3 linked regions of the Alligator mississippiensis genome follow. The protein of the gene in region 1 interacts with the protein of each later gene in a biochemical or structural test. Links are inferred from orthologs where the notes say so. Each region holds a gene or a part of one and is shown on either strand. Other genes may lie near its edges.

The links. The genes of interacting proteins can lie anywhere in the genome.
Region 2: the proteins of RASA1 (region 1) and DOK1 form a complex in vitro, tested with the Homo sapiens proteins (2 studies listed by BioGRID, with this or other methods). The link is inferred for Alligator mississippiensis from reciprocal best matches to the Homo sapiens genes RASA1 and DOK1.
Region 3: the proteins of RASA1 (region 1) and ERBB4 form a complex in vitro, tested with the Homo sapiens proteins (2 studies listed by BioGRID and IntAct, with this or other methods). The link is inferred for Alligator mississippiensis from reciprocal best matches to the Homo sapiens genes RASA1 and ERBB4.

Annotation. Positions count from the first base shown.
Region 1 is NC_081826.1:245,121,774-245,129,714, forward strand, and holds the start of RASA1 (ras GTPase-activating protein 1), read right to left. Parts: upstream 3,014-7,941; 5' UTR 2,927-3,013; coding exon 2,574-2,926; intron 1-2,573. UniProt on the Homo sapiens protein: Inhibitory regulator of the Ras-cyclic AMP pathway. Stimulates the GTPase of normal but not oncogenic Ras p21; this stimulation may be further increased in the presence of NCK1.
Region 2 is NC_081825.1:325,308-333,177, forward strand, and holds the start of DOK1 (docking protein 1), read right to left. Parts: upstream 3,008-7,870; 5' UTR 2,942-3,007; coding exon 2,879-2,941; intron 2,562-2,878; coding exon 2,265-2,561; intron 1,870-2,264; coding exon 1,758-1,869; intron 1,555-1,757; coding exon 1,382-1,554; intron 766-1,381; coding exon 1-765. Other genes in the region: protein O-GlcNAcase, read left to right, coding at 7,027-7,274. UniProt on the Homo sapiens protein: DOK proteins are enzymatically inert adaptor or scaffolding proteins. They provide a docking platform for the assembly of multimolecular signaling complexes. DOK1 appears to be a negative regulator of the insulin signaling pathway.
Region 3 is NC_081827.1:179,024,794-179,031,748, forward strand, and holds the start of ERBB4 (receptor tyrosine-protein kinase erbB-4), read right to left. Parts: upstream 3,008-6,955; 5' UTR 2,624-3,007; coding exon 2,542-2,623; intron 1-2,541. UniProt on the Homo sapiens protein: Tyrosine-protein kinase that plays an essential role as cell surface receptor for neuregulins and EGF family members and regulates development of the heart, the central nervous system and the mammary gland, gene transcription, cell proliferation, differentiation, migration and apoptosis.

The DNA of each region.
Region 1 (7,941 bases):
TGAGCGATTAAACTGCAGGGAAGAACACTTGCAAAACAAAAAAAGAACAAAATGGAAAGGATAAAAGTTACTGTTAAACTTAAGCAGCTAAACACTGAAAAAAAATCAGAAACAAATCAAAAAAGTTTTTGTCTGGCCCATTTCTTTAGTGAAATGTCAGTGTCACTGGTTTCCCCTGTACAATCAAGCTTGCAAGTCACTCACAGCAGCAGGAAAAAATAAACACAACAGGAATATGATTATGAAGTTAGATTCAGAGGCAGGTATCACTCCTGAAATACCTCTCTGGAAATTTATCCCATTTTCAATAGCTATCCCTTTTTTATACTTTAAAGAAATGTTTCGAGTACCTTAAACATTTCTACCCCAACATGTTGGCCCTGATCCTGCAAAGATCAGGGCCACATGCTTTGCTTTAATCATGTGAGTAATCTAACAAAAGAATGCAACTGAAGTATGCGCTTAAAGACGGCAAGATTGTGGCTATTGTAGTCCTCCAATAAGATCCATTTATAAAAAGCCAGACACTTCACTGTTTTGAAGTAGTTTAAAAGTATGTAAGGCTTTGCATAAAAATTGCGCTGCTAGCATATACATTTGGTGTTCCAACCGGAATTTTAAAAAGTATTCACATTTATAAGTCACAATAAAATGTATTTAGAAACATGAGTAGTCACTGACCTAAACAATCACCCAATCAACCATTGTTACAGATCTGTTGGGCATCCATGTGAGAAGTATGCAATATTTAGTTCTTGCAGCAGAAGAGAGGAAGTTTGGTCTTGTGGAAAGGAAATCAAGACCTCTGTCACTAACTTGCTATGTCCTCTTGCATAAGTCACCTCACCTGCCAGTGCCTCTATTTCCCCTCATTTTTTGTCCCTCCTGTTCCTTCACATTTTGATCTGTCTGAGGAATAGGATAGCTTTTCATAAACATTTGAACAGTCTCTATTTCATTAAGGACGTTATTCTTAGGAATCGAGTCATAAAAAACAGAAAACATAATCAAGGATGACTGGAAAGGTTAAAGAGCTGTGTGTGAAAACATATCTTTGCCCTCCTTTTTTGTACAGCAGCTCTGCTATCATCCTGAGCTTGGGAAGAAGAAACTCGCAACATGGAAAGTTTAAGCTGCCTCTGAAGAGATGGAGCACCTTCCCCACTTTGTATTAACATTAGACACGAACCCTCCCAAAAGTACACACAGTCTTACAGAGCTAGCAAGAAAAACAGACTATGAATAGGTAATTTTTTTTTAAGGCTATGAAAACATTATGTTATTTCTAGACAAAACAACATCAGTAAGGGGGTGCCTTTTTGCACTCATTTGACAGGGAAGTGGGGAGTAATGGGGATGGGAAAAAGCTTTTAAAAATATGAAAGCCCATAAACATGCAAGAAGAATTTTACACTGAACTACTGTGAGAACATAACACACAACACTGAAACCAAACCACTTCCCAGATCCCATTAACACACAGGATAAGAAATCCAGCCAGAACCCATCTAAATAATACTTGCCATTGCAAATCTGCATTCCCATTTTACATCTTGCCCCTCTAATGCATCTGATATATGAGGCTTCACCCTAACTTAGGCATCCATTTATATACCCAAATACCAACTTTACTATTTCAGTCCCTGAAAGACTTGTCTTTCTGTAGGGCATTGTGTGCCCCAAGGTAGCTGTTGCCCTACAGATAAGTTATTAGTACACCCAGAAGCTTTTTGCCTGTGTGCCCGTTTCGAGTTCTGACTGTATGTCCAAGTGTAAGCACACAGGCAGCGGGAAATCGAACATAAGTGACACCTGTAACAACTGTCCGGGATGTCCTTTATGTCATCAGCACTGAAGGAATCCATGGTAAGCTAATGAAAAGGCAAACATAGTGAAATCCTACTACAAACCACCACTTGTTTGGGGTTGGTTTTTGGGAGGGGGGGGGCAGGTTAGAGGGCAGGGAGGAGGTTGGGGTTGTTTTTTTTTTTACTGAAGCCCAGTTCTTTTCAAAAATGACCTAACTGCATATGAACTTCTTCCAAATCAGCCAGGCTACAGAAGCCTTCATTTACAAAAAAATTGCCTCCAAGTGCTGAAAAGCTACACATTATTACCTGCCTTTAAAGCCCCCAGGAAGACTGGCTGCAGGGGGGGGGACCCCAAGCAGGACAGCAGGCCACCCACCTGCTTCAGGAAAACTAAAGTCACCCGCAGATTTTCTTTTTTGTTTAAGAAAAAAAAAAAAGGGGGGGGGGGGGGTGTCACGAAAGAGCCATTCGGCCACATCGGAGCTTTGTCCCGGGAGCACCCAGCTCTGCCGAGGCGCATAGAGGCAGGGAGCTGCTCGGCCCAAAAACCCTGGGAAGAGGAGGAACTTCCCGAGAGCTCATCCCGCCCGCGGCTGGGACGGGCGTCCCTCGTGGCCGGGCGCGGCCGGCTCCCGCACCCCGCGGGCCCATTGTTGGCGCCGGGACCGCGGATTTCCCCGGGATCCGGGCGCGGAGGGGGGGCAAAACTTGCAACCCGGCGCGGGCGCTGCCACGCACTTCCCCCGGGCGGGCGGCACTCACTGGTTGGTGGGGGGCGCGGTGAGCGGGATGGCCACCTCCTCCTCCTCGTACTCGGGCCCGTCCAGCGAGTCGCCCTCGTCCGCGGCGCCCAGCGGCGGCGGCGGTGGCAGCGGCGGGAAGCCGGAGCCCGGCCCGGCGGCTGCCGTCTCCGGGGCGGGGGGCGCCGCCCTGGGCATCTCGTGGCCGGCGGCCGGCGGCGGGGCAAGTCCCGGGGGCGCGGGGAAGGAGGCGGGAGAGCCCGGCGGGCGGGCCCGGCACGGGGCAGCGCAGTGGCCCGGCTCGGCGGCGGCGGCGGGTGTCCCGGCGGCGGGAGCCGAGCCGCCCTCCTCACCCCCAGCCTCGGCCGCCATCATGGTGAGCCTCGCCCCCTCCCCCTCGGCCGCGCGGGGAGGAGGTGACAAAGGGGCCGACCCCCGCCCCGCCCCGCCCCGCCCCGCGCCGAGCCGAGCCGAGCCGCAGCCGGGACTGGCGGGGGCAGCTTCCCGGGCCGGCTGGGGGCAGCGCCGCTCCGCAGGGCCCCGGCGCGGCTGCCTCTGCCTCCGCCTCCTGCCCCAGCGGCCGGGAGAGAGCGGCCCGGCCCCGCCCCGCCCCGCCCGCCCGCAGCGAGCACAGCTCCGGGACCGCAGCGGGGGAGGGGAGGGGAGGGGAGGGGGCGGCAGCCCTGGCGGACTGCGCATGCGCTGCGGCTCGTGAGGCGAGGCCGAGCGGTCGCCGCTGCCGCTGGCTCCCGCTCTGCCGCTGGCTTCCGCTGCCGCCCGCAGCGCTGGGGTGGGGGCAGCTCTGCCTGGAGCCTCTCTGCTCCCCCCGTCCGCAGAGGGGCAGTGCGCCAGGGGAGTCCCCAGGAGTGGGGCCGGCACAGCTGAGCCGCGAGCCCCGTCCCCTCCCGCGCCAGGCGCGGCTGGATCCGGGCTCAGCCCCTTTGTGTCCGGCCGGGCTGCGCCCTCGTCGCAGCAGCATGGCCTGGGGGGCGCGTCCACACCTGGCAGGGCTGAGAAGAGGCGGGGCGGCGGGGGAGGTTTCTGAGGCTAAACTCTGACTGGGTCTGGCAGACTCTCGTGTTTCTTAAGTGCCTTTGAATTGGGATTTGGGTTGCCCTAGATCCAGCTTGCCCCCAGGTTGTTTTTTTGAGGCCCCAAATTAGTAGGATTCAGCTGTTTCCTCTGCATTTCAGGCTGTAGTTCTGTTCCCTCTGGGTGCTCTAGACCTGCAATTAATGCAAAGCAATAAACTCCGGAGCAGTTTGAGCTGGAGTAAACTACTCCTGGGTATAGTGTCTGCATGTGTGCCCAGGACAGCAGCACATTGAGGCATGGCAGAGCAGGCCCACGCTAGCAGGGTGCTGAAGGGCATCAGCTCTGGGTTCCTGAGGGGTGCTGGAAGTGCAGAGCCTCTGGCAGGGTGACAGGCAGCAGCCTGGCCCCCAGCAAGCTGGCCTGGCAGGGTGCAGTTCTTGCCCCTGGTTACATGTGCTTAATCAGAGTGAATTACCCTGGTGTAAGATAGTACATTCCTGGATAGTACTATTTTAGAACAGCATAAATTAGTTTACTGCAGCCTGCTACCCTCACACCTGTAGACGGTGATGCTTTACTCCACAGCTAATTACTCTACCCTGCACTAAAGAGCTTGTGTAGAGGCAGGCAGTGGGCACAGCTACATGAGACGCTGGCTGTGCAGTAGTCAAATCATACTGCACAGTAGCACATCACAGTGCCAACAATGCTAATATGCTACAGTGCAGTATTATTAGGCTACTGCACAGTAGCATCACAGATGTTCACTGGTACTACTACACAGTAACTCCCATTGCTGCACATTTAGGGCACTTTTAAGCATGCATGCATCGCAACGCTGGGCAAGCGCCTAGCGCTGTGACGCATACAATTGTATGAGCAGCAAAATGTGCGTCAGCATTGGGAAAAGCAGCAGATCTCTGGCATATCACTGGAAAAAAAGGATGTGTATAAATGCTCTTATTTAGTACTTGATTATATGAGTACTAAATAAATGCGCAGTAACCACTGCACAGTAGCATCTCATGTAGACATGCCTACCAAATAGCAAACTAGTACTGAGGTTGAGGAGCTGTGCTCCCCTGGGGGAAATGAATGCTTGTTAAGTTCAACTCCTTTTTTCTTCTGCAAATATCACAAAAGGGTCTATACCTGCTGTAAACATAATATGCATAAAGCGACAGCAAGGTTGTGGTGGGTTTTTGACTGACAGGATCGTAGTCCTCACAGTGCTCTGAGAGGTGCATGCACAACTATCCTAATTAATAATAGCTTTTCCCTTGGTACCGGTCTGAAAAAAATGTATCCTTTTGTTCACTTATTGCTCTGAGCCTCAGCCACTAACTCCCAAACTTAATTTTATGTTCTCCAGGAATTCCATTGAATGCAGTAGAACTATTCATGAGTTAAGCTGTGTACAGATGTAAGTACTTCCAAGATCAGGACCAATGTGACAAACCTATTTCCAGGCAAAATAGTGTGTAGATACCTTTTGACTTGCAATATTAAAATAGCTGACAAATAGTAGCACCTTGACACTTGCATGTGTCTCAAGTGTTCTTAAAAGGCATCTAAACATTCAGGTTTTCAAAGCTTTGCATTACCCAAAAGTATTAAGTGAATTTCTCCTGAGGCAACTGAAACAAATTGATACTCCTTCCACAGCTCTCCAGCCAACATCGTTTTATCTGCTGCACTGAACTCTCTTATCTTTCCTTCCAAAAGCAAAATTCTTCTCCTTGTTGCACCATTAAAATCTCAGGATTTACTCTGGATTTGTGCCAGTGTAAATGAAAGCAGAATTTGGCTCCAGTCCTGAATTTATAGGATTATAACGTGTGTGTCCTGCTGTTTTTGTGTTTAAAAAATTTCAGCCTCGGTAGCAGTCCTTTACAAGTCTAATTTCCATAGTTACACGTTCCATTATTGTACATGTAATTTCAAATAATCTTCTTGCAATTGTCTCTCTGTGGGTTTCTATTTACTGTTCATTTTCCCTCTCAGATTTTCAAATGTAATTATTTAAATCCACTGTTGTTGTGTTTGTAGGAGTGTCATTCCTAGATACTTTAATGCACTATAAATATTTGTAGGACTCTCTTCTTTGAGATTCTCCTCTTCTGATAACTTAGGGACATAATAAGGGTGCTGTGCTGAGAATTCAGTCCAGGGGAGGGCTGCACAGCTCATGGGTTTTGCATGGGGAGGGCAAATGCAAATTTTGATGTGGTCTCCACAAGAGGCTTCCTGTGAGGCTTGCTAAATCAGTGCTTCTCTAATGTGGCAAACCATGCCACTCTCCCAGGTCTGACCTACCCATGCAGCAGACTGGCAGAGATACCCAAACAATAAAAGCTATAGAAGTGGTCTGGCTGAATTAGCATGGTGCCTGCGCTAATTAGCCACACCAAGAAGTATGGCCCATGTAGAACAGTGAGCTAATGTCAGTATGTTGCTCCATCAGTCCTCGAACCTGCTCTGAATGAGCACTGTACCAAGGGGACATATTGTGGACAGAATTTGTTTAAACCCCTTGGCCTTGCTGGTGCTTTCATCCCCATGTTTCTACTCTGGTTAGATTTTCCAACAATAGAAATCTACCATTTAGGGTCCATTACCCACACTTTCATAATTACAGAAATGAGCTTCGTACCTGGGGAGAAAACATAATCATTGTCGTCATCATCAAAAGCAAACCAAGTCTACCAAATGGAACCATATTTTCTGGACATCTGCCATACATCTGCAAAAATACCTTTTTATTGAATATCCTGGACACAACTGCAGAAGGTTCGTTCCTTCCTTACCCTTTCCCAAGTTTGTTCCTCATGCGGTCGCTTAAATTCATTGATGAATGCATGTAGACCTGTGCTGAAGCAAGTCTACAAGGTGGACTCCTGGGCAAGTCTGGAATGTTTGAAAATCTATAGGAGCTTTCATTGGTGGCCAGTAGTTCTAATGGCCCTTCCCCATGGCCACATTGAAATTTCACGTGACAGAAAACTACTGCTGTTCTCATTTCAACATGCTTTAGTTATATTTGAATAATCTGTAGAAAGAAGGAAATATTTTCTGTATAGAACATGCATGTCTATTCCATATAAAATATGTTATATCACATTTATTGCTGTTGTCAGTTCTGGTCTTTCTTTTTAATGATCTGTTCCAGCCATGGGAATTAACTAGTTAATTAACTAGTTAAAAAATTAAAGAAATGGCTAATTTTTAACTGTAACTAGTTAAATTTTTCAGCTGTCAACTTTTAACTTTAACTTGTTAAAAAAAAGGTTAACTTTAACTTTTTTTAAAGTATAAGTTAAAAGTTAAAAAAATTGAAATCTGGCTTTCCCAGAGTTTTTTCTGACAGCTACTCCTAGGACTTAAATGGAATGATAGTTCTTTATTGAAACTCTAGGACTTCTTGTTTGAGAGAGAGAGAGAGAGAGTAGGATGCCTTCCTATGAAATATGGTCTCTTAAGAACTGTAAGTCTCAGAGTTCCTTAGTTCATGCTGGCATTTTTCTGTGCATTTGCAGAAGTCAACAGGGCAGCCAGTTGGCTGCAGGAGGGAACAAGCACAAGCAAGCAGAGACATTGATCCCAGTAAGAGTGGGAGCGAATAGTGAGGGTGAAGCAGATGATGACTTTTTTTAGTTTTAATGAAGATTAGAACCAGCAGCCCAGGGCCCAAGAAGTTGAGCATTACTTCTCATCTGTGAGAAACTTATCTGAGATGTCACCTACTATGAAAAAACTACTCATCTGTTATAACACAAGCATTCCCTCATCTACCCCTGTAGAGTGATTGTTTAGTAGTGGGGGCTTAGTTTTGCAAGACAGAAAAGGAAAATTGTCAGATGTACGTTTTGAAGCTTTTGCTGAAGTTCAATAAGCATGTTTAAACAGTTTTGCTATGCAACTGAACATTCTTTTTCTCATTTGAGCCTAATTTTGATTTTCAGACACTTTCATTATTTCTAATTCAGATGTATTTCATACCCTTTTGTTACCTTTTGAGCAATAAAAATTGTAGCAACAGAGGTTGTCTGTGGAAACAGCTTTCATTTGTTATCTGGCTTTGAATATCTCCTTTCTGTTATTTTGGTATACCTATATGATGCATTGACTTCTACAAAGTACTTCACATGGAGAGGGTGAGAAAGTTCTAGCATTACATAGGTATTGGTAAATTGTTATTCTGAAAACTGTATGACAAGTATAACATTGTTTGCAGGTAAAGCAGGGTGAGTTCTGAGTAAATTAGTGCACTTCTGTGGGCTTATGGAAAAGAAACCCACTCATTGCATTTGAAAATGAAAATGATGCTAAAAGGCAATTCACCATGTTCCACACAT
Region 2 (7,870 bases), on another chromosome or scaffold:
GATGGGCGGCACCGAGTAGTCGGAGTTGGGGTTGTAGGGGAACTCGTAGCCATCCCGGTCGTCCAGGCCCTGCGTGCGCCAGGCCTCGCCCAGCAGCCGTGCCTCATCGTAGATGCAGATGGTGTCGGGCAGAGGTCGTGGCGCCCGCCCCTCGGGTTCGTCATAGATGTGCTCCTTGCAGCGTGGGGCCGGCCCTAGCCCTGAGCCTGGCCCCGGCCCCGGCGCGCTACCCACAGCCCCCAGTTTGCTGTCAATGGGGTCTGAGTACAGTGGGTCCAGCCAGAGCCGCGGGCCCTTCACCGAGTCCAGGGGCTCCGAGTACAGGCTGGACATGTCCTCGGAGGGCAGCACAGGCCGGGGCACCTTGGGCAGCGGGGAGCGCGGGGGTGTGCTGGTAGGCGCAGGCTTGCTCTGCGGCATCGGGGGCTCCGGGAGGCTCCGGGTCTTCAGCAGGCTCAGGGCGTCCCTCTCCTCTGGAGCGGCGCTGAGCCGGGGAGCCAGCCCGGCCTTGGGGCCTGCAGGGCTGTCGCCCTCGGCTGGGAGGTCGAGGCTGAGCGAGTCGGCCAGGGTGCTGCGGATCTGCATGACACTGGGGCAGTCCGCATCCAGCGAGTCGCAGCTCTGCCGGTGCTCCTCCGCCAGCGTCTTCTGCTCCCGGATGGACGCCTCCACCAGACGGAAGATCTCGTTCCCCTGCTTGGTCTCGAAAGTGAAGTTCCCGGGGCCGGAGCTGCAGCGCCGCCCAGCTTCAAAGGAGAACATCACCTGCCGGGCAGGTCAGCTCAGGTCAGAGTCCCGCTCTGCTGCCGGCTGACCCCTGGCGCCCAGCAGAGCCACCTGCAGAGGGGCAGCACCAAGCCGCCCACCCACAGAGAGGCCTGAGTGCACACAGGTGCCTGCAAGGCAGCTCGGCCCCCGCCCACCCTCCGCCAGCTGCTCCAGCCCCTCGCCGGGGCGCAGACCCGCCTCTGCCTGGTTCCGGCCAAGGCAGGAGGAAGCAGACAGGCTGCATCACTGCTGCTGCTATAAACAGCTTCCCTCCCAGACCACTTCCTCCCACCCAGTCAGGGTCCATAGGGTGGGAAAGGGCCACGCAGCACACAGGGTCTGGCTGCACCACAGCTGGGAATGATGGAGGGGGCAGCAGGTGTGAGGAGACCGTGCGCTGCCAGCGGACATGGCAGGGGTCACGTGGACAGGCGGGGGCCCTGGCACAAGGCCTTGGCAACACCTTGTTAGGGAAGCATGTGCAGCACGGGCCAGGAGATGGACACTGAGGGGGCAAGTGCAGAGGAGTAGCCAGGCCCGGTGGGCTTGGTTCATCAGTCTATTAACCTCCTCTCTCACTCCGGGGTATCCCAAACCTTGCCCCGCAACCCACCTTGTCACGCCCATATCTCCGGAGCAGCCGGTAGGGCCACACGTAGAGCGTCTCCTTCGTCTGGGGGTCGCGGAGCGCCAGGCCGTCGCGCTCTGCCCGCAGCTGGTAGGTCCCGTACAGCCCACAGCGCTCGGCCGCCTCCGTCCTCTGCACTGTCACCCAGAAGCTGTTCACTGTGAAAGGGGGAGCCGGGGCAGTCACGGGGCCTGGCAGGGCTGGCGACCCCAGCGCTGCGCAGAGGGGCACAGCCAGCGTCCGAAGGATGCCCCGAGGCGGGCACGGGGGCCTGAGCCCAGGCACGGCCCAGGGCGGGGGGCGATGCCCCAGGTTGGGGGGCTCTGCCCTCGCAGGACCCTGTCAAGCAGCCCAGCCCTACCTTCGTCCCGTGAGTAGTAGATGGAATTCACGGCCATCTCCAGGGCAGGCGCTGCGGCGCTGCCCTCCGCGCTGCGCCCGCCCGGCAGCCGGCCCTCGCCGCCCGCATTGCCCTGCCGAGCAAGCGAGACGGACCTCAGCACCCGACGCCAGGGGCCTGCCAGCTCCAGGGCTCCCCATGCCCCCCACACACCCCCACCCCGAGAGCATGGGTGGGCCGTGGCCCCGGCTCCCCACGGGCCTGGCCGGGACCAGCTCAGAGCGAGGGCTGCCGGCAGACGGGGATGCCCTCCTCGCTCCCCATGCCCCAGCCTGGCAGGAGGGGGCGGGCGCCTCCGGACCAACCGCAAGCAGAACTGAAAGCGTGAGCCGGGAGCCACGTGGGATGATGCTGCGCCACAGGCAGCGGCAGGCGGGTCGGCTGTCGTGGAAGGGCAGGGGCGCAGCAGTGGCAGTGCTGGCCCCAGCGCGGCCACGTGGCCGTGGGCCCGGCACCCCCCGTGCTCACCCCGAAGGCGATCTCGCACAGCTTCCCCACCCACTCGGCGCTCTGCTGCTTCTGGGCGGCGAAGAGGTAGCTGCGGTCGCTGGTCTCCAGGCAGAAGGTGGCCGTGCCATCCTTGGGGCCGCTCTCGCTGGCGGGCGCCACGCTCACGCAGTCGGCCAGACGCACGATCTTCTTGTCCAGCCGCTTGGTGCCCGGCTTCTCGCTCGGCGCCGCCGGGTCCTTGCAGTCGAAGAACTCGAGGCGCGCCACGCCGTGCTGGCTGGCCGGGTACAGCACGAACCAGCTCTTCTTCCAGCGCTGTGCCACGCGACACCGCAAGGCTCAGGCTCAGACCCGGACCCTGCACCGGGACCCGCACGGCCTCCCCCCGCCCGCGCCGGGAAGAGGAAACGGCTCTTCCGCTCGGCCCGGACCCGCTTCCCCAAGCCAGGGGGGGGCCCACCCGGGACACGTGGCGGAGCCCCCGGCCCAGCGCGGGCGGGAAGGGGGCGGCGGGAGGAGGGCGCCCGGCCCCGGCCCCGGCTCCGGCCCCGGCCCCGGCCCCGGTCCCGGTCCGGTGGGGGGGCGGGGCCGGGCGCGGGCGCGACCCCGGGGGGTGTGGGGGGGGCGCTGACCTTGGCCCCGAACTTGAGGCTGTGCTGCACGTAGAGCTGCCCCTCCTTGGCCGGGGGGTCCATCCCAACGCCGCCGCCGCCGCCGCCGCGCCGCGCTTCCTGCTCCCGGGCCGCGCCTCGGGGCGGGGCGGGGCCTGGGCGGGACGGGGCGGGGCGGGGCGGTCGGGGGCGGGGCCTGGGCTCGCGCGCGTGCGAGGGGCGTGCACACGCGCACGGCCACGCCCGCCCTGTTGCGCCGGGCTCCCACGGGGGCTGCACACGCACACGCCCCCCCGGGCGGGTCCCGGTCCCGGTCCCGGTCCCGGTCCCGCAGCCGGGCGCGGCGCGGGGATGTCGGCGCGGCCGGGCCCGCTGTGCGGGGTGGTGGAAGGTAGGCCGGGCCGAGCCGAGCCGGGCCGGGCCGGGGGGGCCGCCGCCGCGCCGCGCTGGGGCAGGCAGGCACGCGGGGATCCCGCTGCTCAGACCGGTGCGCACGGGGGGTTCCCCTCCCCCCGGCCCAGCCCGGCCCGCTGCAGCCCCCCCCCCCCCGGCAGCAGCAGGACGCTGGCGGCCGCGGCCCCCGCACCCCGGAGCGATGCCGGGCGCCGTGTCGGGGGCGTCTGTGTCTGCGTGTGCTGGAGCCGGGCGCGGGGCCGGGCGCGCAGACAAACCGGCGCTGGCTTGCGTGACCCCGCGGCGGGAAGGCGCGTGGGGCCGGGCCGGGCCGGGCCGGGCCGGGGAAACTCTGGCAGAGCGCCGGCTCCGCCGCGGACCATCCCGCCGCAGAGAGCGAGGGACACGGACTCCCCCGGCAGGGCCTGGGCCCGGTGGCACGGGCGCTGCGGGGCGCAGGTCTCGGGCCGGGCCGGGCCGGGCCGGGCACCAGCCCCAGGAGCCGCGCGGGGCCGGAGAAGCCGCGTGTGGGCGGGGCGGGGCGGGGCGGGGGGGGGCGCGGACACGCAGGCCTCTGCAGGGCCCGGTCCGGGAAGGGGGCGAGCGATCTCCGGGGCTTCTCCTCGGGCCCGTGGCTCCAGGGCAGCTGGTGCAGGTGCATGGTTGCAAGGTGCCTGGGACCATCCAGGCTTGGAGAGCCCCACGCGTCCTTCCCCGCTGTGCGCCTGGCCTGGGCCCAAGCCCCTGCCACCGCCGGTGAGGGCCCGGGGCTCGTGCGCCCAGCCGCGCCGGACCTTGGACGGCTGCGCAGGGGCTGACAGCACCCCGGAGGACGCAGGGCGGGGGGCGTCGGCCGTGCCAGGTGTCAGCGGTGGCGGCCGGCTCCGAGCCCTCGCGGCGCCGGGTCAGTGTGAGCCACGTGCACGCCCGTGCGGAGCAGAGAGGCGGCCCCGGCGTCCAGGGCGGCCGCGGCCGCGGCCCGGGTGCGCTCGGGGCCGGTGGAGGCTCCCGGAGGAAAGGAGCCGTCGCCATGGAGACCCAGCTCCTCCGAAACAGGCTGGCAGGGAGCCCGGGAGAGCCGCGCCACGCTCTGCCGACACCCCAGCCGCCCCCGCGTGTCTGCCTGGGCATGGAGCCCGCCCTCCTACGTGACACCGTCCCCGGTGCCCCAGAGCACCCGCCGGGAGCACGGGGCGCGAGCCCCTGGCAGGTGGGGTGGGGGGTGCGAGATGCATCATTGCACAGAGCCGCGTGCCTTTCTCATTAACCAAGAGCGCTTTGCTGTCGTGCCGGGCCCAGCGCTGCGCGATCCAGCTTGAGAGCAAAGCCAAACCAAATAGGACTTTGCTGGAGCGAGTGAGAAAGAGTGGCGGGGCTGCGCACAGGAACGGCAGAGACTATGCTGCTGGGGCGCCAGGGCTGCTAGAAAGGAGACAGGGTGGTTAGCACCCGGGGGGCGAAGGGTTTAGCAGGGAGATGATGGTGAGCTGTGAAGTCTCAGCCCGGGCTGGGTTTCCACTGGGGGTGGAGCAGGAAACGAAGGTGCAGCCCTGCACCCGTCCCTGCCTAACGCCACGGCAGGGGCCAGGTTTCAGGTGCACACGGGACAGTGGCTGACACCGGGGCTGGGCCCGGGGCCTTGTCCCTTTGCTTCCCCTTCTCCCCTGAAGAGGTGGGCAGGGGTGGTGTCCGACCCAGTGCCGGGGTTCCCGGGGCCTGGTGGGCGCAGGGCAAGGGGCTGCATGCGCGGGGGGCGGATGCCGCTGGGTGCTGGGAAGAGCGTCGCTTGGCCAGGCAGCGTATTCACACAAAGTGCCACTAAAGGGCAGCAGAGAGGCAGGCGCAGAGCTCTGCTGTGTACCAGTGGCCTGTTGCACCTGTGTGTGTGTGGGAGTGAGGAGCAATGCAACATGGGATGCCTGTAGGACGGACTGGACCCACGTCCTGTGACACCTGATGTCCACACATCACGTGGACCCAGTTGGCAGTGAACCCGTTCAGAAGAGCATTCGGTTTTCCAGGCATGCTTTTGAACCATTCCAGGTGGATTTAAACCAGATTAACAGGCTTGTCCACTTTGGGTTTAAAGCAGTCCTGGTGCCACGTGTGTCCATGCCCGGGGCTCCTCAGTGCCACGTGGTGGTGCCCTCGGCCGCCAGCCACGTGCCTCACCAGATGGCTTCCGGCACAGCCTGCGGCCATGGGAGGGGCAGCGCCGGGACAGCAGCCGCGGGCAGGGGAGCTGTGTGCGGGGCTTGCATGTGCCCGCGTCCAACTCCTGTCCTCTGTCTCGCTTCGCAGGCTTCTATGGGAGACCGTGGTCCATGGAGCAGAGAAAGCTTCTCTTCCAATGGCAAGTCCCTGCGCGCCGGCGTGGAGGCCCTGGTCCGTGCGCTCCGTCGAGAGGCCGCAGGAGCCTGCGCAGCGGCAGCAGCAGATGCCATCTCCCGTGCAGCTCTGACGGGTGCTCGAGCTACCTGTTGCTGCGTGTGTCCATTCACCCTCCCTCCCTCCGGGGTTCGCCACCACAAGCGTGGCACTGGGCGAAAGGGCACAGCGCTCCGTTCCAAATCCTCCCTGGTTCCCCCGCTACATCCTCTCTCTCTGGGCAGCCGTGCCCAGCTCCCCCCAGCTGCGTGGGTGTGGGCAAGGCACCGGCCTGGGCCCAGGAGAACCAAGGGGGTCCCTTACAGTGTGGGCTGAGGGGCAGAGCAGTTTGGGGGCCAGATGGCCAGGTGTGCATCCAGCTCAGTCGTATGTCGGAAGTGAAGCATCCCACCATGGTGCCTTCACTGGCTCGGGTGGTGCCAAGGGTCTAGGGTTTCCCGGGGTGAGCATGGGTGGTGGAGCTGGGAGCCCCACTGGGCCTGGACCCTGCAGCACGCCAACATGGAAACCTGTGAGATGCTGCCTCCACACTCAGGGCTCCAACCTCGTCGCTGGCCCACGTTCCCAGCCAGACGTGGCCTCTGCCGGAGCATGCAGTCCTGGTGCCAGCACCCGGGGCTGGGCCCTGGACACAGGAATGGCCACGGTGGAGTCACTAGTCGCTCAGCCTGCTGGGTCTCTGGTGCTGGGACAGCAGGGAGCAGGAGGGGCCACGCTGTGCCACACAGGCCGTGCCGGGAGCCACCCCTGGTGGGGCACATGGCTGATGGCTGTTGGCACCACCACGTGGCACCGTGGAGAGCGCAGGAGGCAATGGGAGCAGGAGCATAAGGGAGCTGATGGAGTTGAGGCTGAGGCCCACAACATCAGGGTGGGCTGCGGAGGGGTTCGATGGGCCGGGAGCCCCCAGGGCGGGGGGCAGGTGTCCTGCCTGGTGAGAGCCTGGCCAGGGCAGGCCTCACTGGAGAGGGGAAGCCGCCCTCAAGCACAGGCCCCCGAGAGCTGTGGGTGCAGCGGGGTCCCATGGCACCATCAGCCCCAGGTCCTGGTCCCCACAGCGCTCAGCAGGGGGCGGTGGTGCGCTGCAGCTGTGGGGGGTGATGACGGCCACGCTGCAGACGTGGGGGGCTGCTCACCAGAGATGGGGTGATCCTGGTCACTGCAGGGGGGTGCTGCAGTAGCTTTGGGAGGGGCATGGGGATGGCAGCCACGGTGTGACCAGGCGATGAACACCTCCCTGGGAGGCCCAAGCCAGAGGGTACTGGCCAGCCCCCCTCACCTCTGGGACCATGGCCGGATGCTGAGCCCGGGCTGGGGTCTGCCATGGAGAGCAGGTGCTCCAGGGGGATGGGGTGGGGGCCCCTGGGACAGGTCTGCCCACCTGCCACATGCCAGGCCCCAGGTTTTGCGCTGAATCTACAGGGGCGGGTCCGTGGCGTCCTGACGGCAACGTGGGGAGGGCTGTGCCAGTGCCCGGAGGCCAAGGCAGGGCAAAGCCACCGCTGGAGCTGGCCCCCAACCTGAGGGCCCCGCCGCCTGCCTTTGCTGGCCGGCGAGAGTCCCATGCCACGGACGCGCTCCTGCTGGTGTTGTCCAGCGAGGATCTGATCTGTCCTCACCACAGCAGCCCGCGGAGGTGGGCAGAGCAACGAGCATGAGGGGCATTGGGGCCCAGAGATACCTCCTCCAGGGCCCAGGCTGCTGGCTGGGCCTGCCTCGTGTGCACACACACATAAGTGTGCACATGTGTGCGCTGGGGGTTGCACCCAGGCAAGCGGTGCCTCTGGAAAGGAGTCAGGGTTGCTGCAGACACTGCCGGGTACATGGGAGCAGGAGTGGAGGGAGGGAGACAGGCCAGAGGCGAGTGCAGCCTCTGGATCAGGACCACGGCTGGGTTGCGCTTGGTCAGGGCAGGCAGAGAACGGCCCCTGGCCGACCCGAGCCCCTGCCAGGATGGGCACAAGCCTGCCCCTGCCCTGCTCCCGCCTGGCAGCGCGTGGGGCTGTGGCCCCAGCGTGTCCCCAGCTGCTGCCTGCGGGCACATCTCAGTGAGGGTCTGCCCGGGCTCCGCAGATGGATGCTGGCACCGGCCCCGGGCAGCGACGGGATGGTGTGGCGAGGCCCAGCTGTGCAGCACCGCATGCAGCGCCAGTCAGGTTGGCATGGCCAGTCATCGTGTCCGGCACGCTGGGTCATCCCCACACAGGTCCTGAGCCCGGTGGGGCTGGACCG
Region 3 (6,955 bases), on another chromosome or scaffold:
TCATATGCAGAAAAAGCCATGTTTTAATTGTTGGGAAGCATAAACATAAAATGCATTCCCCTGAAACAATGATAAAAGTATTTCAATTCTTTTTCATCATAGCTTGAATACCAAGTTATATAAAAACAGGAATGCATGCCAACCCAAAAGCCTACACACAACATTGGTCAAACTTCATCATTCCTGCACAATTTAAAATCTCTCAGATTTTCTTGCTTTACATCCTGTTGTTAATGCTTTAAACATTAACCAAAAAAACAATACTCCACAAGAAAAGATATCCAACAAGCTGTTATTATGTTCCCATGACTGTCTTGGTATACAAATGCAACATTTTCCTGGGAAATGTAAACAGCATTATTCTATTCAGTGAGGTAAAATCCGAAACCACATCAGCAACTGAAGGCTTCTTCAGCTTGAAATGGTCTTAAATATACGAACACTTCAAGGACCACCGAAGACAGCTAAAGGAGATTTGGCTCAAGGCATTCCTTCTCTGCAGAGAATCTTTTGATGGTGAAAAACACGTTATTTTATTATTTGCTTTTTAACCCCGCTACCTTATTCTGTTTCACCTGTAAACAGTCTTTCTGCTATGTACTTTTTTACTTGCCTATATTTGCACACACCTAGGAATATATGTGAAAGAAAAGCTTGAGGCATAGATCTAAGTTAAACAGCCTGCCACGTTGTTTGCAGACTATGAATTACATGGCTTGACTCTGTCCATCCTACACATTACAGGGGAAGGGGGTGGGGGTCTTTATTTTGCAGAAGGAAGGGATGATATGATATGCTACTATTTCTGTGTAAACGCAAAAGGAGAGTTGTTTCCCAGGAACTGTTCCACTGGGAAACCGTGATATTTGAAATGTAAATGGCATTGGTCCTGGTGATATTAGAAAGCTGTCTTGGGACATCCCCTTTTACAAAGCTTCCAAGGGGCTACCTGGAAGCCGAGCAGTGATTTCAGAGGGAAATGGACGCCTGCTTTCCTTGCAGAGAGATATAATGGAACCCCTGCCCCCCAGCAAAGATCCATATAGGTGACCAAAATAAATAAATAAATAAAAATAACCCCCCCCCCCCCCCCGGTCTCCAACAGCATTTCTATTCTGGTCACAGAGACCAGTAAATAAGGTGCATCCTTTCTGCTTCGGAAAGAAATTAGCATTTCAAAAATCCGCCACTTTCCCCTGAACTCCGAGCGTGTCTAATAATGCGAGAAGCAGATTGTCTCCCCTCGTTTCCTTAATTTGTTTCATCTAAAAGCAATTCACTCAACATCTTGTCGCCCTCTGGCAGCTTAGTTTACTTCTCCGCACTTCATTTCTCATTTGGACCAGAACAAAACTCCTCCGAGCTGCTGCTGAGGGAGAGGGGGGGATCGCTGCGTGCTCACTGGGGCCCGCTCCCCCCTGCCCCAGCGGCGGGGCTGGCTTGGAGGAGGTTTCCAAGGCCGCTGGGACTGGGAAGGGGCTTCCCTGGCTCCTCATTTCCGCGGAGCATCCAGCCCGCTCCGCCGCCTCCACCTGCGCGCGGCTCCCGCAGCCCCCGCGCTCCCGGGGGCCGGGCTCGGGCCCGGGCCGGCGGCGGCAGAGGCGGGTCCTCCTCGTCCTCCCCGAGCCCGGCTGGGATGGGGAGGGCGCCACTGCTCCACATTGGGGGAGAGCAAAGCGGAAAATGTCATGTCGACACTAACAGCAATGAAGCCGCCAGCCTCGCGGAGGGAGGTGGGCGGGTGAAGGGGCCGGAGGCAACTTTCCTGCCTAGTCCAACTTGGCGGTGGGAGCAAAGACAAGGAGCCCCGTGCCTGCCGGGGTGGTCGGTGCATTTGTTGCTCATTCCCTGGTTAAAAAAAATACCCCCGGCCTTATCTTGGGAGCGGATGCCTGCTAGGAGAGCCCCGGGGGAGGGGGGGGGGGCAGGTCTGGCGGCTCCTGCCCCCCTCCCCCTCCCCTCCGCTCTCCATCACCAGCTCTGCTCGGCACCGGCCCGGCCCCGAGAGCGACAACGGGAGGTGGCTGCAGCCCGCAGCGCTCAGCCCCGCTCCGCAAAGTTGGAGGGGCCGAGGCCGCCGCGGAGCAACTTAGTTGCGAGCCCCTCCGGCAGCCGGGGCGGAGAGAAGGGAGGAGGTGGGGAGGGGGCTTCTCTTCAAGGCCGGCGGGCTCGGGGGGCACCTGCCCGCCCGGCTCTGGCCCCGGCCGGGCTGCGGGGCTGCCCCGCGCGCAGGTGGGACAGGGCGCTCCCACCCGCCGCGGCCCGGACCCGGCGCGACCGCGGAGCGGAGCGGGCCGAGCGCTCCTCCACGGCCACGAAAATCATCATCATCATCATCAGCCTGATCACGATCGCCGCTGCCACAGACGGGGCCGGGCGAGGGAAGAGGGGGAGGCCCAGAGCATCCCAAAATGCAGACACGGGGCCGGGAAGGAAGAGCCCCCGTCTCCCCCGTCCCGCCCCGAGCAAGTTGCGCGGGCAGCGGCGGCAGGTGCGGGGCTGGGAGGGAGGGCGCGAGCCGCGAGTGCCGTCGCCACCCACCTGACTGAGCGGCGCCGGGCTGCAGGGTCCCGCAGCTCCCCAGGAAGCAGAGGCAGCAAAGGAGTCCGCTGGCCAGCTTCATGTCGGCGGCCGGGCGACGTCTCAGCTCCCGGGGTGGCAACTACATGGTCCAAATGGCATATCCCTGTGCGCGCCCCCTCCCCTCCCCTCCCGGAGGGGCGCGGGGCTGGTGCGGGGCGGGAGGCGCTGCTGCCCCGCCGGGCTCCGGGGAGAAAAGTTGCTTCCGAGCCGCGATCGCCTCCCGGCTGCGCCGCTTCGCCTCTGCCGGCTGCTCCGCTCCGCTCCGGGGCGGCGGCGCCCCTCTCCCTGCCTCTCTCCCTCCCTCCCGCTCACGCCTGGCCCGGGGCTGCGGTGGCAGGAGGCTCTCGGCGCGCCAGTGCCATGGAGTCGCGGCGCCCGGCTGCTCCGCACCGAGGAGCGAGACACCCACCCAAAAAATACATTAAAAAAAAAACCCACCCACCCCAAACAGGCGCAGGCACGCACCGAGAGGAGCGAGGGGGCTGGAGCAGGGGGCGAAGCCCCGCCTCCCCCGCTCGGATTGGCACCGCGCGCCCCGCCCCCGCGCCCCGGGAGCACCTGTCACCGCCCGGGCGCCGGGCACCGCAACCCCCGGCCGGCGGGCGGGCCGGCGGGCGGAGGCAGCGGCTCGGCGGGGGCAGTCGCGTCGCTTGACCGACTTCGGGGGCCCCCGCCGCTGCGAGCGGGCTTCCTCTGCCGCCCGCGGGGCTGGAGGCGGCGGCGGCGGAGGGGGCCTGTGCTTCCCCCACCCGGAGCCGAGCCCCGGGCCCGCTCCGCGCAGGGCTCAGGCGGGAAGCCCGTGCCTGACTTGTTTTTCGTTTTTCATTTTAACCCCATCCCTCCAAAGAACAACAGGCCGAACGTGGCTCCAGCTTGAGTTTGAGCCGGTTTAATAAAGCGCATTTCCCCAAAGAACTAGGTCAGACCAACACCCCGAAATGTGACTCTGGGCTGTGGGGGGGCAGCGCGGGGAAGGGGGCGAGTGTGTGTGTGTGTGTCGGGGTATTTTTCCAAATAAAAGGGATTTTTTTGTTCCCAAATAAAACTCTCCCTCCAAGCAGCAAACTGAAAGGGAAAGTGCAGCGGAAGCAGGAGCCTGGGAGGCAGCAGGACTTGGTCCCGGGCAGGGGCCGGCAGCACAGGGGAAACCTGAGGCGCGCTCTGGACACGAGGTGGGAGGAGAGAGAGAGACCCACCGCTCGGCAATTCCTGACCAGTTACCAGCTCTCTCTGCCCGTGGGCACAGGGGCCGGCTGGAAACTCCCAAAACTTGCCTAGTGTTTCAGGGTCTCAGCCAGCAGCTTTGAAAACACTCTCCACCTCCACCCCTCACCCCCAACCCCAGCCCTCTAGAAAGCCCCCTTCTCTTTCTCTTCCTCTTTATATAGATTTTTGTTGTTGCTGTTTTTGGAAGAAAAAGATACTTCAACGGTTATCAAACTTCCCCAAGTCAGGGAACCCTTTCCTATCACTTCAGTCCCTATCCTAAAGACTGATGTGGAGTCAGGCGACCTGGCTTGGCAAAGGCAGCACGCTGCCCAGCCCACTTTGGCATTACCCCCACTCTCTCTGCCAAGCCGCTGGTGGCTTCCTGCAGACCCCCCAGGATTTAAGTTTGAAAACCGCTCCTGCGCACCATCACATGATTCAGGCAACCTCTTTGCTGGGCCCTTGCCACCACTAAATGAAAACCGTCAGTGCCCCAGGGCTGGGCATCTCTCAGTATTCTGCATTTCAGAGCACGGCTTGGTTGCAACAGAGCTTGCTCGATGTAATCAAAAGAACAAGGCAATTTCTGAGAAGGCGGCCGTCACTTTTATGGCCCGATCTTAACTAGAGCTGAATGCCCTCGCATTGATTTTGGATAGAATTTGTGGGCGTGTAAAAATAATACTATGTGGGCCATTGAAGTGTTACAGACTTGTGGGGAGGAGGGGAAAGAAATGGAAACTAGCTCTATAAGGAATTGAACACTGGGAAGGAGCAAAGTGGTGTTTCTCATCTCAACTTTAAGATAGCATTGAAGTTTGTTCACAGTTCAGGCTGATGATTATTTCATCCTCTTGAGTTGTCTACTGCCTGTTTTATGTATGCCTGTAGGCATGCCTAGCTGCAACTTGCTGGTATCTGGTTTTGTCTTAGAAGTGCAGTAATAAATGTGTTTTGTCCAGTTACTGATCTTTGACCCAGTCATCATCCCACAACAGTATTCCTGTTGCTTTTCCTCAGTAGTGTTAGACTACCGTCAAGCATATGGGGACTCAGACTTTTACTCTGTTAAGACTCTAGGGGCACAAGTGAAGAAATAAGGAGAATATATGAGAGCTTGTAAATTAGTGCGCAGTTACTGATACAGACAGACCTACTTGCTGCACAACGAACAATGGGCTGGAGCCCACACAGAAACTGCTACCCCCATGTTGTTAGAAGGAGCTATTAAGCATGCAACAGCTGAATACTAGGGGCAACCAAAGTGAAAAAAAGGGACAGAAGTGGGGGTCAAAGGTGAATAACAAGTGCTCCAAGCAGGGACACCAAGCGGACCACACCAGACAGTATCCACTAGCCCTGAAATGAATCCAAGGAGCCTGTGGACACTGCCCAGTATAATTTTGCCTGGAGATGTGAACAGATGAGGGACTGGAAGACAGCCCCCAAATCACCGGGGTCCCCCCAGCCAGAGCCGCCTTCTCTGCCAGGTGGATGGCAAGCAACTGTTAGAGATGGGACTCAGCTAGATGGACCACCAATCTGATCTAGTATTGGCAATTCCAGTCTTTCTATACTTATTAGATGGACCTAAACCAGAACAGTGTACCGTATCATTTTGGAATAGATTATACTTTCCTACTAGGTCTAAATCAGAAATGAATCCAGCATAGCAAAACAGAGCAAATACTAACAAATCAGAGTAAATTGTTTTGAGCAGTTCACTACACCACTATACACCACTAATTAAAATCTGTCTGATTCCTCTGGTGTCCATCCTAGGGAACAGAGCCTATTTTCTGGTGACTTGTTGTGGAATTAAGATTTGATAGATTTCATAGACATTAGGGCTGGAAGGGACCTCGGAAGATCATCGAGTCCAGCCCCCCGCCCAAAGGGCAGGACGTCAGCTGGGGTCATAGGATCCCAGCAAGATAAGCATCCAGTTTCATCTTGAAGGTGTTCAATGAAGGCGCTTGAACAACCTCCGGCGGCAGGCTGTTCCAGACCTTGGGGGCTCGGACAGTAAAGAAATTCTTCCTTATGTCCAGCCTGAAACGATCTTGTAGTAGTTTGTGACCATTCGTCCTCGTCATCCCTTGGGGCGCTCTGGTGAACAAACTTTCCCCTAGATACTGGTGGTCACCCCTGATAAACTTGTAGGTGGCCATCAGATCACCCCTGAGCCTGCGCTTTTCCAGGCTAAAGAGCCCCAGGGCTCTCAGCCTGTCATCGTAGGGCCTGCTTCCCTGACCCCTGATCATGCGCGTGGCTCTTCTCTGGACTCTCTCAAGCTTCTCCACATCCTTTTTGAATTGTGGAGCCCAAAACTGGACGCAGTACTCCAGCTGTGGCCTCACTAAGGCCGAGTACAGGGGGAGAATGACGTCCCGGGATTTGCTTGAGAAGCATCTATGGATGCAAGCCAGCGTTTTGGTCGCTTTACTAGCCGCCGCATCGCATTGCAGGCTCATGTTCATCTTGTGGTCAATGATGACCCCCAAGTCTCTTTCTTCCATAGTGCTAACCAACATAGCACTGCCGAGCCTATAAGGATGCTGCGGGTTTTTTTTCCCCAAGGTGGAGAACCTTGCATTTATCGGCGTTGAACACCATCAGATTCTCATCCGCCCACTTGCTGAGCCTGTCCAGGTCAGCCTGGATCACCCGCCTGTCTTCTGGTGTGGATGCTTTGCCCCAAAGTTTGGTGTCATCGGCGAACTTGGCCAGTCCGCTTCTGACTCCAGTGTCCACATCGTTAATGAAGATGTTGAACAGTATGGGTCCAAGGACAGAGCCCTGGGGGACCCCACTGGTCACAGGACACCACGATGAGTGACTTCCATCAATTACTACCCTCTGGGTCTGACCCCGGAGCCAATTTTCCAGCCAGTGGATCGTGGGGGACCCAAGGCGACAATTGGCCAGTTTCTCCAAGAGACGATCATGGGACACCAGATCGAAGGCTTTTTTGAAGTCAAGATATATGACATCAATCTCATCTCCCTTGTCCAGGTGATAGGTCACCTGGTCGTAGAAGGAAATGAGATTGGTCAAGCAAGACCTACCCGCAACAAACCCGTGCTGGCTATCCCTTAAGATGTTGGCGTCGGCCAGTCCATTAAGGATGGCCTCCTTAATAAACTTTTCTAAGATCTTCCCC